Arabidopsis thaliana: one gene and its partner. The protein of the gene in region 1 interacts with the protein of each later gene in a pairwise test. Each region holds a gene or a part of one and is shown on either strand. Other genes may lie near its edges. The genes, in order: PTAC4 and CR88.

The links.
Region 2: the proteins of PTAC4 (region 1) and CR88 interact in a protein complementation assay, tested with the Arabidopsis thaliana proteins (one study listed by BioGRID).

Annotation. Positions count from the first base shown.
Region 1 is NC_003070.9:24,234,146-24,241,466, forward strand, and holds PTAC4 (plastid transcriptionally active 4), read left to right. Parts: upstream 1-1,942; 5' UTR 1,943-2,183; coding exon 2,184-2,322; exon of another isoform or gene 2,323-2,477; intron 2,478-2,694; coding exon 2,695-2,804; intron 2,805-2,900; coding exon 2,901-3,011; intron 3,012-3,144; coding exon 3,145-3,209; intron 3,210-3,294; coding exon 3,295-3,376; intron 3,377-4,134; coding exon 4,135-4,209; intron 4,210-4,634; coding exon 4,635-4,705; intron 4,706-4,825; coding exon 4,826-4,908; intron 4,909-5,479; coding exon 5,480-5,544; intron 5,545-5,778; coding exon 5,779-5,853; intron 5,854-6,166; coding exon 6,167-6,283; 3' UTR 6,284-6,583; downstream 6,584-7,321. Other genes in the region: AT1G65250 (Protein kinase superfamily protein), read left to right, coding at 287-1,405. UniProt on the Arabidopsis thaliana protein: Required for plastid vesicle formation and thylakoid membrane biogenesis, but not for functional assembly of thylakoid protein complexes.
Region 2 is NC_003071.7:1,279,552-1,286,701, reverse strand, and holds CR88 (Chaperone protein htpG family protein), read right to left. Parts: upstream 4,949-7,150; 5' UTR 4,720-4,948; coding exon 4,468-4,719; intron 4,360-4,467; coding exon 4,286-4,359; intron 4,201-4,285; coding exon 4,075-4,200; intron 3,985-4,074; coding exon 3,891-3,984; intron 3,801-3,890; coding exon 3,717-3,800; intron 3,630-3,716; coding exon 3,486-3,629; intron 3,404-3,485; coding exon 3,287-3,403; intron 3,205-3,286; coding exon 3,169-3,204; intron 3,056-3,168; coding exon 2,975-3,055; intron 2,898-2,974; coding exon 2,793-2,897; intron 2,698-2,792; coding exon 2,557-2,697; intron 2,466-2,556; coding exon 2,373-2,465; intron 2,284-2,372; coding exon 2,206-2,283; intron 2,128-2,205; coding exon 1,873-2,127; intron 1,791-1,872; coding exon 1,688-1,790; intron 1,607-1,687; coding exon 1,432-1,606; intron 1,337-1,431; coding exon 1,231-1,336; intron 1,151-1,230; coding exon 1,061-1,150; intron 982-1,060; coding exon 793-981; 3' UTR 558-792; and 1 more. UniProt on the Arabidopsis thaliana protein: Molecular chaperone required for chloroplast biogenesis. Essential for chloroplast biogenesis and maintenance, and thus for embryogenesis. May be involved in the disassembly of VIPP1 for thylakoid membrane formation and/or maintenance.

The DNA of each region.
Region 1 (7,321 bases):
TCTAGTCCCAGCCGATAGGTGTGAATTTTTGATGACCATTCACTAAACAAGTAACAAACGTTAAAATTTTAAAATATGATGACATCAGCAGACCCAAATTTCCTAAAAGTCCTTGCAACTCTAATAAATTCCTATTTTCTGATTTTCGTTGAAGAACGTAATGTTGAAAATTCAACAAGAATTGAGTACATTGTACTCGTTTGCAACTCATTGTGTGAGGTCTCGAATCCTTTGCTCATTTTGATTTCAAATAAAGCTTTCTTTCCCTTAATTCTTAGATTTTGAGATGGGTTGGCTGAGGAAGAAGAAGAAGCCAAAATCCGATATAGCGTCCGAGAGAGGGGCCAAGTTGTTAGAAGAGCTCATCGAATGTTGCGATGGCAAATCCAATCCCATCAAATTCTTCTCTGCTGATGAGATCCTCAAAGCCACCAACGATTTCAGCGACTCTAATTTTGTTTTACGATTAGAAGTTCCCTTCAAATGGTATTCTGGTAAGAACGAGAATCATCCCATGATACTAATCAAGAAAGATGTTGGCTGGTGGAGTGGCTTGAGAGTAGATCGTTTGTGCCGCGACATAGCAGTTTCATCGATGGTGAGTGGTCACAAAAACTTCATGAAGTTGGTTGGATGTTGTCTTGAGTTAGATTATCCAGTCATGGTGTATCATAGTGTTAAGAAACATTACAAATTAGAAATAAGTGAACAGCCATGGAAAAAGAGAATGAAGATAGCAGAAGATATCGCTACTGCTTTAGCTTACCTTCACACCGCCTTCCCTAGGCCCTTTGTATATAGGATTTTGTCTCATTGGAATATCTTATTGGATGAAGATGGTGTCGCCAAGCTGACTGATTTCTCTCACTGCGTCTCAATCCCAGAAGGAGAAACATTTGTCCGGGTTGACAGAGACGTGGGATTATATAGTTACTTTGCTGATAATTACGTTAGGAGTGGCCTAGTCTCAGATAAAACAGATGTCTTTGCCTTTGGAATCTTTATGGGTCATAGGCTTCTATTAGGATACGAATACTATTTCGAGCATTATCGAGGAGAAGAAGAAGAAAGTGAAGATGGATTTGACAGTCTGATGAAAAGACATGCTCGGAATTTGCTCTCAACATTAAAGGAAGACAGACCAATGGAAGAGATTGCAGATTCAAAGATGATAGAAAAGATGGGTCAAATTTCAGAACAAGAGCGTTGTCAAATGAAAGCTTTCTTGAAGCTATCACTGAGATGCACCGGCCCTAGTGAAGAAGTTCCAACGATGGTGGAAGTGGCCAAAGAACTAAACAAGATTCAAAGATCTCTTTTTAACGACTCTTCTTCTCTTTCTTCAGGTCAAACCCAACTCGACTCTGCCCAAGACATTTCTTCCACAGTGGTCCTCTCAAATTAGACACTGCTACCAAGTATTGCCTGCCAGGTATTTCATGAAATGTTTCAATGGGTTATGTTGAGCTGGTTTCGTTTTTTCAGGAAAAAAATCGAACAATGTGCTGAAAATAACTTCGATTCTTGTTTGTATTAAAACATTATCAAGTTTCATTTTTGTTGTTGTATTTATAAATAGTGCTACGTTACTTTTGATTCATTATATTGTCCCTTAGAGTCTGTGTATGTGTGTTTGGATTTTGATGGATGCGTCTGTGTTTGTTAATTCAAGAGATATCTACTCGTGTATTATAAGGGAAAGTCTCCCAAGTCAATAACAATTCTAAAGTTTACATTGTGAGTTGGGAAACATGGTTCATTGACGTAAGTTTGCAAATTCCAGCAACTACATATGAACAATGCAATCAATATTGAACTGTGAACTCCATGATTGTTTGGTGGATTTGGACATTCACATCTATACTAAAGTGAAACATTCATGACGGTAAACTTCTCTTGGAGCTGTATCTTGCATATTAAGAATCAAAGAATATCAGTGAATTATGATCTTCATTGTCAGCTTTGTCTTTTCAAGAGTTCTGATCTTCAGCTTTGAGTAATTTCCGTTTTCAATTCCAATAAAATATGTTTTATGAAAAAATCAATGTTATTCATCGACCAAAACGACGTAGGATAGAGAAAGAAAAATGGGAACAACATCCGAGTAGCCTCCGAGACCACAAACATCCTCCAATAAGCCAAAAGAAGACGAGAGAAGGAGAAGAGTCGAAATCGCCATTGAAATGGCTCTCAAAGCTTCACCTGTTACCGGATTATTCCCTCCTCTCCGTCCTACTGCTTCTTCTTCCCCTTCGACTTCTTCTAATCGCCCTTGTTCCCTCAGGATTCTCCCTCTCAGAACATCTTTCTTCGGTAACTCAAGTGCGTCTCCTTCTTCTCTACTTCGCTTTAGGGTTTGGCTTTATCTTCATTTCACTAGCTTGCGCCTTGTTTGGATTGCTTGGAGGAAAATAGTGCAGCTATTTGCTCAAATTGGGTAACGTGATTAGTCAGAGAGAGAATTGAAGTAAAATTGGGTATTGATTGTGCTTTTTAGTGTATGATTTGTCGATTTTGTGTTTCTTGATTTAGTATAAATGAGGTTACTCTTAGTCAGTGTCTATAACTTCAGTATGCTTTGACTGTTTCACATGTCTAACATTTAGTTCTCTTGCTTTTTAGTTATGTTGTTGGTTTGATGTTTCCATGAACTTATTGTTAGACTCAATAAAGATTATTGTTTATTTTTACAAGGTGGAGCGCTGAGAGTGAATGTGTTGAGATTAGCTTGTGATAATAGACTCAGGTGCAATGGTCATGGTGCTACTATGAATCTTTTTGAACGATTTTCTAGAGTGGTCAAGGTACTTATACCCTTTCTCATTCTGTATTTGACTGTCATTATGCATTGGAGTTCATTAATCAGTTCTCTTGTTTATTTTTCATTTTAATAAGCGAAGTCATATGCAAATGCGCTCATAAGCTCTTTTGAAGACCCGGAGAAAATCCTGGAGCAAACTGTCATTGAAATGAATAGTGATTTGACAAAGATGCGTCAAGCCACTGCACAGGTGCACTTCTTACTCTTGAACAAACTTTATACATTTTCCTGTACGATATTTTTCTTCTTCATTTTTTTACTACAGCATGGTTGGCCCCTATTTATGAGATTAGCTAACTTGTGTATTATCAACGTGTCTGAAGGTTTTAGCATCACAAAAGCAGTTACAGAACAAATATAAAGCTGCACAGCAGTCTTCTGATGATTGGTATGTGTGCTTTTGCGTGGACCTTGCTTCCATACCTAAATTCTTCTCTGAGCTGATTATTCTTACATGTTACACGTTTAAATAGGTACAAAAGAGCACAACTTGCTCTTGCAAAAGGAGATGAGGATCTTGCACGTGAGGCCCTTAAACGACGAAAGTCTTTTGCTGTAGGTTATATCTATCCATTCTTTTGTCCACCAGTTTTCTGTTTCTTAAGTTTGCTTACTCCAACAAATGAAAGACCCTAATCGTTTAGCGCATCGAGCGATTTGAGGCTGATCTCTTGGTTTTCTGCAAGGTTTAGTTAGGTGGTGGTGAAAGTAAAATGGAAAAATTTAGATATCTAAGTATTCTGTAATTCTCCTCAGGACTTGCCCCCTTTTCCAATCATTTTTTGATGCAATAGAGCTTGGCAGTGTTTATAGTACTCTTTTGAAATATATTGTTTGTTGAGTTTGTTAAGGTGATTGCAGTGACAAAAGATATTTTGGATATATATAACACTACAGATGCAGCCAAAAACGACCCTTCTGTGTTTCTACATATTAGGATGTTGACTATTGTCTTTCAGTATCAGAAAAAAAAATCAAAATCAAATTTTGGTTCTATGTAGAATTTCGGAAACAGCCAAACACGATTCTTCAGTGTTTTTTACATATCAGTATCTTGGCTATCATCTTTGATGTGCTTTTGTTTGAGCAACAGACCGTATGGCTCTTTTTCAGTTTTGTTGATTTATGTATTTGTGTAACCTTTGCAAATGGCTAACGAATAATAGGCAGGTAAATTTTCACTATCTTTTACCTGCTGATACCTTATCGACTACTGAAGTCTCTTGAATACATCCATTCTCTAACTTTATAAAGTTACCTTAAAAAAAAACTAGAACTTTAGGTTTTGAAGTTATTACCTTTTTTCTTAACAGGACAACGCTACTGCTTTGAAAACTCAACTAGATCAGCAAAAAGGTGTTGTCGACAATCTTGTTTCAAATACAAGGGTTAGTTTTCACCATATTTATCTATATATTTTGTATTTTGATTTACTATACACTGTTGGAATCTTTAGAGCTATGATTAAATGAATTTATCGTCATGCATTTACTCAATAAAACAAAGAATCATGTATACATTAATTTTCGTCATGCCACCATACAATTTGAATGGTTTAGAGATAGTACCATAGTTAAATACCTCCGTCATAAGATTCATATGCCAAGTATCTCTCTTCACGTTTTGTACTAAGGAGCTATTGTATCTCTATGGACATAATGTAGAAGATATTTTAGATTAGTATCTGTATTTTCAGAGTTCTTCCATTTCCATAGCATATGATTCTTATATTTTCTGAAATTGCTTAGGGCGAAGTTTGGTTCTTAGAAAATGAGTTCTGTAATTTTTTTGTTGTTTCCCCTTTTATTTGCAGCTCTTGGAGAGTAAGATACAAGAGGCAAAAGCAAAGAAAGATACGCTCCTTGCACGTGCTCGCACTGCTAAGTTTGTATCATTTCCCTAATACTCTTCTTTATATCATTTATGGAAGCTCGTCCATACAGAGTGTTTCTTGTCGATTTATATATTGTCCCAACTCTATTTGTTTTTTTTAATTCCTGCTAGGACTGCAACCAAAGTGCAAGAGATGATAGGGACAGTAAATACAAGCGGTGCTCTTTCAGCTTTTGAGAAAATGGAGGAGAAAGGTATGATCTCTTGATCCTCCAACTTGTCTATACGCAACCAATACCAGTTAGTCCTATTATTCCTTTCTAAATTTGAAGTTTGGCCTGTAGTTAGGATTAGCATTCAGTCTTTGAAAGTGAGTTTAGATTCCACTACTTTCTCTATGTTAGCTTGTACTACTTGCCACCTAGGCGACAGGGTTACATTAGAAATAGTGCTCAGATTCTGGGCAACGTGGATGTGGAATTAGTGTTGTAGTTACCTCATGCAAAACAATAGAACAGTAATATAATGTGTGCAATGGGACATCGGAGTAAAGGATAAACTTAGCGGAATCCTTGCTTGTTTAGATACAAGAGAGAAATGCCACTGGATAACCTTTTTTCTTATTGCTATTTCTAGCAATTCGTTTAGGTTCTGGTTGATCAATGTTAGTCCGTGCAGATATACCCTCTTATTCTTTCTGTAAATCTCTGAGTTGCTAGTATCAGAATTCCGAACGTGTAATTTTTCGTTGTGAAAGACTTCACATTCTGCTTGTTGATGAATGCTCAGTCTGATAGAGACTAAAATCTAGAAAGTGCTTGACAGTTATGGCTATGGAGTCTGAAGCAGATGCACTAACTCAGATTGGAACCGATGAACTCGAGGGGAAGGTTGGTTGTCTATCTCTTGTCTTGGTATTTCTATGAGGAGAAGAATCTTTCTTTCTCTTTTAAATTTGTTTCAGAGGTAAAATCTTGCATTGATTAGGGTTCGCTGCTTTATCTAATATCTTCTACGACTGATAGGATGGTCTAATCTGGTTTACTGTTTGTTTGTTGGTAGGAGAAGAACTTGTATATCTGCAACCATCTTGACATTAACGTGTATTTCTTTGTGACTTGCAGTTTCAAATGCTTGAAACTTCATCTGTGGATGATGATCTTGCAGACTTGAAGAAAGAATTGTCTGGAAGCTCAAAGGTTTGTAAAACGTCAATCATCTTGTTAGTTCCGTAGAGTTTATAATCTCATCATTCGCGAAAATATTGTATCCACAAGCTACCATATGTCCATATTGCAAATTACCGTCCGAAGAGACTAATGGGTTCAGCAATTTGGGATGGTTCACTAAAATCAACAATTCAAACTACTCAAATTACTTCTATGTTTACCTTACTGTCTTGTTTCATGTTTGACGATAGCCTACTTTGCTACTAACATTTTACTTCACTGAGTTAAGAGTCTGTGAAACATACATCTTATAGTTATCCTCTGTTTATATGATATGGAGCAGAAAGGAGAGCTTCCTCCAGGGAGAAGCACTGTTGCAGCAAGCACGAGATACCCTTTCAAAGACTCAGAGATCGAGAATGAGTTAAACGAACTGCGAAGGAAAGCTAACGACTTTTAGATATCGGCTGTTTCCGAATTGTGACTGGGTTACATTACGTTCCTGCTGTAAACTATCTTGTGTCTTGTAGAAAGACACAAAAAGCATGTGTACTCTTAAAGTAAATATCCAGCTATCTAATCCCCATTTATAGTTGGGTTATGTACATTCAGACACTTTTGAAAGTGTGGTTTCCATTTTGACTCACTTTGTGTCAAGTGGACACGTTTTTTTATAAGCTGTTTTACTCGCATAACCCTCTATCAGCCTCTAAGGCATAAAAGAAAGAGATTCGTCGATTTAAGATAGAAATGCTCGTCTTCCATGTTGACTTGTCTTTCCAGTAAAACATGTTGCCATATTTTCCTAGATTCCTAGCCAATCGTCTTCAGAAACTACAAGGTATGTCTATGTCTAATCAACTGTACCCTCCTCATTGGATACTTAAAGAGCTTAATAATGAGGGTTTGAAATGTTACCAAAAGTTGGTTTAGCCACAAACACAATTCTGCAAGAACTCCTTGATACTGCTAGTCCTGTTTCAACTTTCAAGCAAATATATATCTGTTTATATGATGTGGAGCAATCCTCTTTTTCCGCTAACAGTAATGTTACCAAAAGCATGCTTTCAAATCATATGAACTGGGTGTCTCAGGATAATGTGGATAAAGATCCCTTAGAGATATTACTCTTAACGAAAAAGAGGCACAATTGTGGCAAGTAGGCCATATTGAGTTTAGTTTGGAAACTAGTTGTTTTTTAAATTCGGAAACTCGAACTCGAGTGAGAGATATTTCACAAAATGATTCTTATTTAGGATATCACCCTTTTTTGGACGGGTCTTGGAAAGATAGTGATAAATTCTCAGGAATATGGTGGTTCAATACGTCATCAGATGGAGTTACACCAACCATGAGAGCTGCCAACACCCTTACACGCATATCTCCACTACATTCGGAAGTGGAAGCTCTTCTCTAGGCGATGAAGTGTATGATTGGTGTTAACAACTAAAAAGTAATGTTTTTTCGAAACTATTCAAATCTAGTGAATATGGTGTGT
Region 2 (7,150 bases), on another chromosome or scaffold:
AATTTTCCATCAAATGATTGATTTGGAAATCATTTTGATTTGGAAAGTTTTAATGGACCGTTAAGATTATTAGTTTAAATAATATCCGGAAAATGTGTGATTGTACCATATTTTGATATATCGAATATTGATTTTTAAATATAATTTATTCCATATGCATAATTATGAATTATTGTAAATTCTAATCCGCTCCACTAATTAATTCGCGAGCTCTTAATATTGTTTGCCAACATAATATTTTTAATAAAAAATATGTAAAATTAATAACTATATTTTTGGTTTATTTTAGATTGATTTTTTATATTTAGTTTTTTTAAATCTTTGAAAAAACAATAAATAGGTGATAAGTATTGAATATAGTGTGTTTAAGAAATATTATTTAAATTTGAAATATAGTGTATTTAAGGAATATAGAGTGATGACCAAATTACCATAGACGATTTTGATTAATAATGTACAAAATCCAAAATTGAAAATTGATGGCAGATTAGACTATTTTTCAATTTGTATTTTCTTTTTAATAATAAGAGGATGTAAATTCAGAATATTTAATACAACTCAAATGCAAATATTTTTCAAATATTCGTAAATATTTTTGTTAAAAGCTTTTTTTGTGTAAATTCTCTAAAATTATTTTAATTATCAAAAAAAAACTACAAATACTGTATTGGATAAATCTCGTTCACGCGTGATTTAATTATGGGCTTTCATTAGGCCCATGATACTGCTAATGGAAAGATAAAGCGTTCTGTCAAAAAAAAATCACTGCAAACAAAAGAAGGTAAAAAAGGATCAATCTTGCCAAGGATCACTCTCTGCCCTCACTTCAGATGGTTCAACTACCTCTGTTTCTCCGCTTTTGTCATCTCCTTCATTCACAGTCGAGCTTTCTTCTTCTTCTTCAACTCTGCCCCATCTTCCTCCAACCGCCATTGCCATCATCTCATATATCTTGTTCCCGAGCTCGGCCGGGCTATCAGGCTGTACAACAAACACATATAAGTGAGTAAAATGGTCCAAGACTTTTACTGGGAAACAAGAAAGGTTTCAGATTTCTTACAGTGAATCCACTTGATATTATAGCAGTGTCATACAAGAGATCGACCACTCTTGTTGCTTCAGTGCTCTCTGGTGCATTCTTACAAGCAGCCTGTACCAAAAGAATACAAAAATTAATAAGGCTTTTTCGAGACAAGAGATTTCTGAGAGAATATTATACCACACACTTACGTTCAAGTCTTTGATGATGGGATGATCTGGATTGATCTCTAGTATTCTCCTACCTCTCATGAACTCCAGGCTTGAAGTGTCTCCAAGAGCCTGTGCCTTCATTAGCCTTTCACAATGAATAAGCACATAAGTCAATGAACAAGCACATAAGTTTTATGGTATGTGGATTTCAGGTTATAAAGCTTTTGCTGAAGTACTAACCTTTCCATATTAGCTGACCACCCGAATTTGCCAGAGACAAGCACACAAGGAGAAGAGCTCAAACGGTTTGAGACTTGGACTTTTGCAACTTTGTCACCGAGCTGCTGTTTTATCCAGTCACAGAGAAGGTTAAACTCTTGTTTCGCTTCCCTGTCCTTTACTTCATCTTCATCTCCTGCGAGAATGGACACGTTTTGTTACAAACAAATGGTTGAGAGAAATGTGCGGGCAGTCAGCAGTGCTAAACCATACTTACCGAGTTCCAAATCTTCTTTACTGATATCAACGAATTTCTTTTCTTTGTAGGTTTGCAAATTCTGAATAGCAACTTCATCGATTGGTTCAACCAAATATAGAACCTATAATTAACAAAAGCAAGTGGTGAGAAAGTCAAATCTAAACAGAAACTCGAAGTTGAAAAACAAGTCTTGAAGCATATACCTCGATATCTTTTTGGATTAGTTTCTCCAAGAAAGGGGCAGACTTGGCACTTTTAAGACTATCAGTTGCGAGGTAGTAGATCGCCTTTTGGTTCTCTCCCATGTTCTCGATATAATCATCCAAGCTTGTCAATTCCTCTTCATTCTTGGAACTGAAGAATCTAAGTAGCGGTGTGATACGCTTGTGGTTACCGGTGTCTTCAATACAACCCAATTTAAGGAATCTACCAAAGTTCTCCCAGAATTTCTTGTAATCCTAGAATTGTTTGTACAACATGAATATCCCTGGCTTTCAAATGAGCTCAAAACAAAATTAGGATAATGAGATACCTACCTCTTTGTTTTCACTCTCAGAGATTTCTTGTATCATGTCAAAGGTTTTTCTAATGAGCCTCTTTCTCATGATTCTTACCTGAACATTATCACGAAAGATAGTACAGTTACAATTTGTGATATTCATATATGATAAACATTTGTATCACTAACAGTTGCACCACTCACAATTCTGCTTTCTTGGAGAATTTCACGAGAAACATTAAGAGGAAGATCATCAGAGTCCACAACTCCCTTCACAAAGCTCAGATATCTCGGGAACTGCAAACAGATTAGGTAACATAGTCAGATAAAAATTGAACCACAAATCTAAAGAGATTTCTACATAAGAAAGAACCCATAAAAGACTCACAAGCTCTCCATCAAAATCGTCAGAGATAAACACACGCTTCACGTAGAGACGAATGTTCTTTGTTTTCGGGTTTGTAACATCTTCATTGTTAAGAGGACCCATCCCAGGGATGTACAAAATGCTCCTGAACTCAACCTCACCCTTTAATAATCAAGACAATACAGAGACTAGTAAGCACCAATTGAAGAATTCATAAATTGACATAAATATAGTGTATAGTGTATAAGTATAAAGACCTCAGTTGTGAAGTGTGTGTGAGCAAGTGGATCCAAGAACTCATTGAAAGCCTTTTTGTAGAACTCATTGTACTCTCCTTTTTCCACTTCCTTCGAATTGCGCATCTATTCAAAGACACAAAATAATCAGTAAACATGTTGAAAGAAAAGTACAAAACGCAGGCTAAAGCTCCAAGGCTTACCCATAGCGGTTTGGTCTCGTTGGCTAGTTCCCAATCCCAATACTTCTCAGTTTTAGTGGTCTTCTTTTTCTTTGGCTCACCCTGGAAACAAACAAGTAACAAAATCAACTCAGTAAACAAAATTCTAGAACAGTCTTTTGGTTGTGACTGTTTGATAGTTGATACACACAATTAAAACAACATAATTTTTTTACCTCTTCTCCTTCCTTAACTGGTTCGTCCTCTTCGACCTACCACAAGTTACAAATTTTAAACCATATTAGCAATGTGAATACACTAATATGATTACAAAAACAAAACTTTCATCCTCACCTCTATAGTCCTTGATTTCTCCTGCCATGTATAGATAGGAAACCCAACGAACTGAGAGTAATTCTTCACGAGGTTCTTGATCCTTGTAGACTCCGCAAATTCGTATTTATCATCCTCCTGCAGCCAGGAATAAGCAGTCAAACAAACTATAAGAGATCTGACGCATCAAATGAAAGGATGAATGAATAAAGAAAAGTACCCTCAGATACAAGGTGATTTGTGTTCCACGACGTAGAATGTTATCAGGGTCTGTTTCTTCTCTGATCAGATACGAGCTACTATCGGCAACCGATTCCCAAACATATTGCTTGTCAGATTTGGGGCTTTTGGTGGACACAACAACCTGAAAGCAAAGACAATTGTACGTCCATTCCTCGTAAGAAATACATTAACCAGAAGACACTAAAAAACAAAAGTTGAAAGTCTTCACCTTCTCAGCAACTAAGAAAGCAGAGTAAAACCCAACACCAAACTGTCCGATCAAACCGTTGTCAGCACCAAGGTCCTTGTTTTCCTGAATAAAGAGAGCAATAAAACAATGAGTCCGAAAACATGACATCAAAGATTTGCTAGCAACAGGTTTTCAAAGAGATGGAAAAAAAACCTTTAGAGCCTTCAAGAATTTCGAAGTACCACTTTGAGCAATAGTTCCAAGGCAATCAATAAGTTCTTCCTTTGTCATTCCAATACCAGTATCACTGCATATACGCATCAAACCTCTCTAAGTAAACCTGTTCTATTCAATTTTCAATACTTAAGTAAAACAAAAAATGAGAAGTCTCTCATACGTTATGGTGATGGTGCCGTTATCAGGATCAGGCTTAATCCTAATCTCAAGATCTCCACCATCTCCAAGCAAAGAAGGCTCTGTTACACTCAAGAACCTCAGCTTATCCAAAGCATCACTTGCATTACTGAACATACACAGACACATTCAAAATCAGATTTTGACAGAAACACACAAATCATTTCCAAAACAATCCATCAAAATTGACTCACCTTACAAGCTCCCTGAGAAACACCTCCTTGTGACTGTATAAGCTATGAACAATCAAATCCAACAATCTACTAACCTGTGATAAGATTTCAACAATCAAATCTTAAAACTTTATATCCCCATCAAGTTGAGAGATACCCAGAAAACAAGATTGAAACTTTAGGAGATATGAAAGAGAACCCACCTCAGCTTGGTACTCAAACTTCTCACCTGACCCTTCTTCAGTGGTCTCTTTCTCCGCCACGGCGGCGTCACACTTCACGGCGAATCGGTTACATCTCTTTTCGAGATTCCAGCTACACGAAACGCCGGTTCTTAAAGCGCCGCCGTGTGGGAGAAACGAGCTTCTCAGATGAGAGAGACGAGAAGAGACAGGAGTGATTGGAACTGAAGTCAAAGGAGATGTGTAGAGACTTCTACTCAAAGCAGGAGCCATTAGATTTGAAAGTTGTGAAGGAAAAGATTTGAGATTTTTTTACAATCTCTCAATCTCTAAAGAGAAAAGAGTTTGTAGTAGTTGAACAAAGAGTAACCTAAAAACCCTATTAAAGGTTTAAGGAGAGTGAGGTAAGAGAGGTTTCTAGAAGAAGAGCGTATAAAGAGAAGAGATGTTTAGAGATTGTGAGGTCTACGAGAAGCCATTTCATCAAAACCGTAGGATTATCCGTTTGATTTACACGCGCCTCTCCTTGAGAAATTGTAGCTGACACACACACACACACCAAATGCAAACCAAATTGAAAAAACACCTTATTGGGCCTACACGTTAACCCATAATGGGCCTATAGCCCGTATAAAGTAAAACGAAAGGTTATGGCTGGAAAATGTTTCGTATCAAATTGGCCCATATCAAGAAAGAGATCTTGAATATTTGTTTTTTTTTTTTTTTTTCGTAAATTATATATATGAAAGTTGGCCAACTCTCTTCATATGATAGACACATCATCACTTTAGCATTTGACATGTGTTTATTAAATAATTAATGTAATCTCTTCAATTTCAAATCTATAGTTTAATGATATATTTATATTTAATTTTACATATTATTTTATTATACATATTTAATTGTACTTTTACTAAATTTATTTTAATATCACATGATTTTTTAATAAAATCATTTTAATAGTTTTCTCATACTCGAAGATTTTTATGGTAATCCAAACTCAAAGTATGAGTATATTACTTAATAATTTAACTAAGTTATTCTCTTAAATTGATGTTTATATTCTCTTAAATTGATGTTTATATTCTCTTAAATTGATATTTATATAATAAATAACTGAGGGTGAAGAATATGTAAGGAGCTCCATCATTAAATTCTTAGGTTTATAGAATCCAACACTACCCTCTGTTAAATTGGTTTAAGATAAACATTGTTTAGAAATTATGTGTATGATGCATTGTTGAGAATGTGGTTAGAAAAAAATATTTTAATACTAAATGTAATTGCTTATTGCATGAGTAAATGATAAGATAAATAAAAATTATATTTAAATTAAACAATACAAAAACATCCGAAAAAACCGTGGTGTAGCGCGGATGATCACCTAATATTTCATAAAAATGAAAACATGATAGGTTTACAATCGATGATTTTCAACCTAAGCTAATGGTTCCATGGCAAAAAAAATAAAAACATGGAAGCATAAAAATAACCACATACATAGTGACATATACCAAGATAAAATGATATTAAAATTTTATTGATTTAGAAATTATGAGAAGGTGTGCACTAAATAAAATACAACAATGTTGATGCTAACGAAGATACACGATTGCTAATTATTGGAAATATCGAAACCATACGTTATAGACTCCATACCCATAACTAAATTAACCAAAACATATATAGTTACCAACTTCTCACTGTCCTCTACTTATTTTGCAACTTTTCCTTTTTTTATTACGACTATAATACAGTATGTGGGTATTGGGTATAACCTAAAAACAAAATATTTGCAATTTGGTCAAAAATTTGCAATTTCTTTTAAGAATAATAAAATGATGCAAATGATGTTTATTTGTCCTATTTTTGGATCCAAGGCAGGTATTTATGAATGGTCTACTGAACAAAAGTAATATCTGATGGAGAGCGGAAGCTAAATAACGGACGAAAACACAAAATCTCTATGAGAACTCGGATTAACGAACGGATTTTGTTTAGAACGCCGAAACTTGATGAAGAAGCAATAGAGATAAGGTCGAGATCGATAACGATATCGATGAGGTTTTGCAAATCCTCCTTGCAGGGCTTGAACACAAGCTTTTAGGGTTGAGAGTCCTCCTCTCTAGGCTTTAGACAAGCTCTCTTAAAACTCGTTTATTCAATAATCAAAAACTAATTACAATAATGAATTACATCTCTTAAAATAAGAGAAAAAGAATGGAAACCCTAGCCTAAAGAATAAGCAAACTAATATCAAATATTCAAAGCCCAAATATACATTAATTAAGTCCATATGAAACTAAACCCAAAAGTAAAGCAATAAACAATCTCCTCGGACGTGATGAATACCGGAGGAGCATTTGTCTTCAAGATACGCTGCATCAATATCAGAACAAGGTAAAAAAAGTTTTGGAAGTGTTTGAATTATAATGTTCAATAACAGATATTTACCCCCAAAAAAAAGAATAAGAACAGAAAAAAAAGACTATGTAAAATTTTTTTTTTTACATCTTTGTATCGACAAGACCCGATCAATACTCAATCCCTACTATGCGGGATTGCGGGATAACGCAACTTAGTGAAATCGAATTCCGGTGGAGAAGGCGGAATCAAATGGTTAAGTCCATTTGACTAAAAGCACATCCTCGTATGTAAGATATCTAGAGAATTCAAATTGGTAAATAAAAAACCACTTAATTTT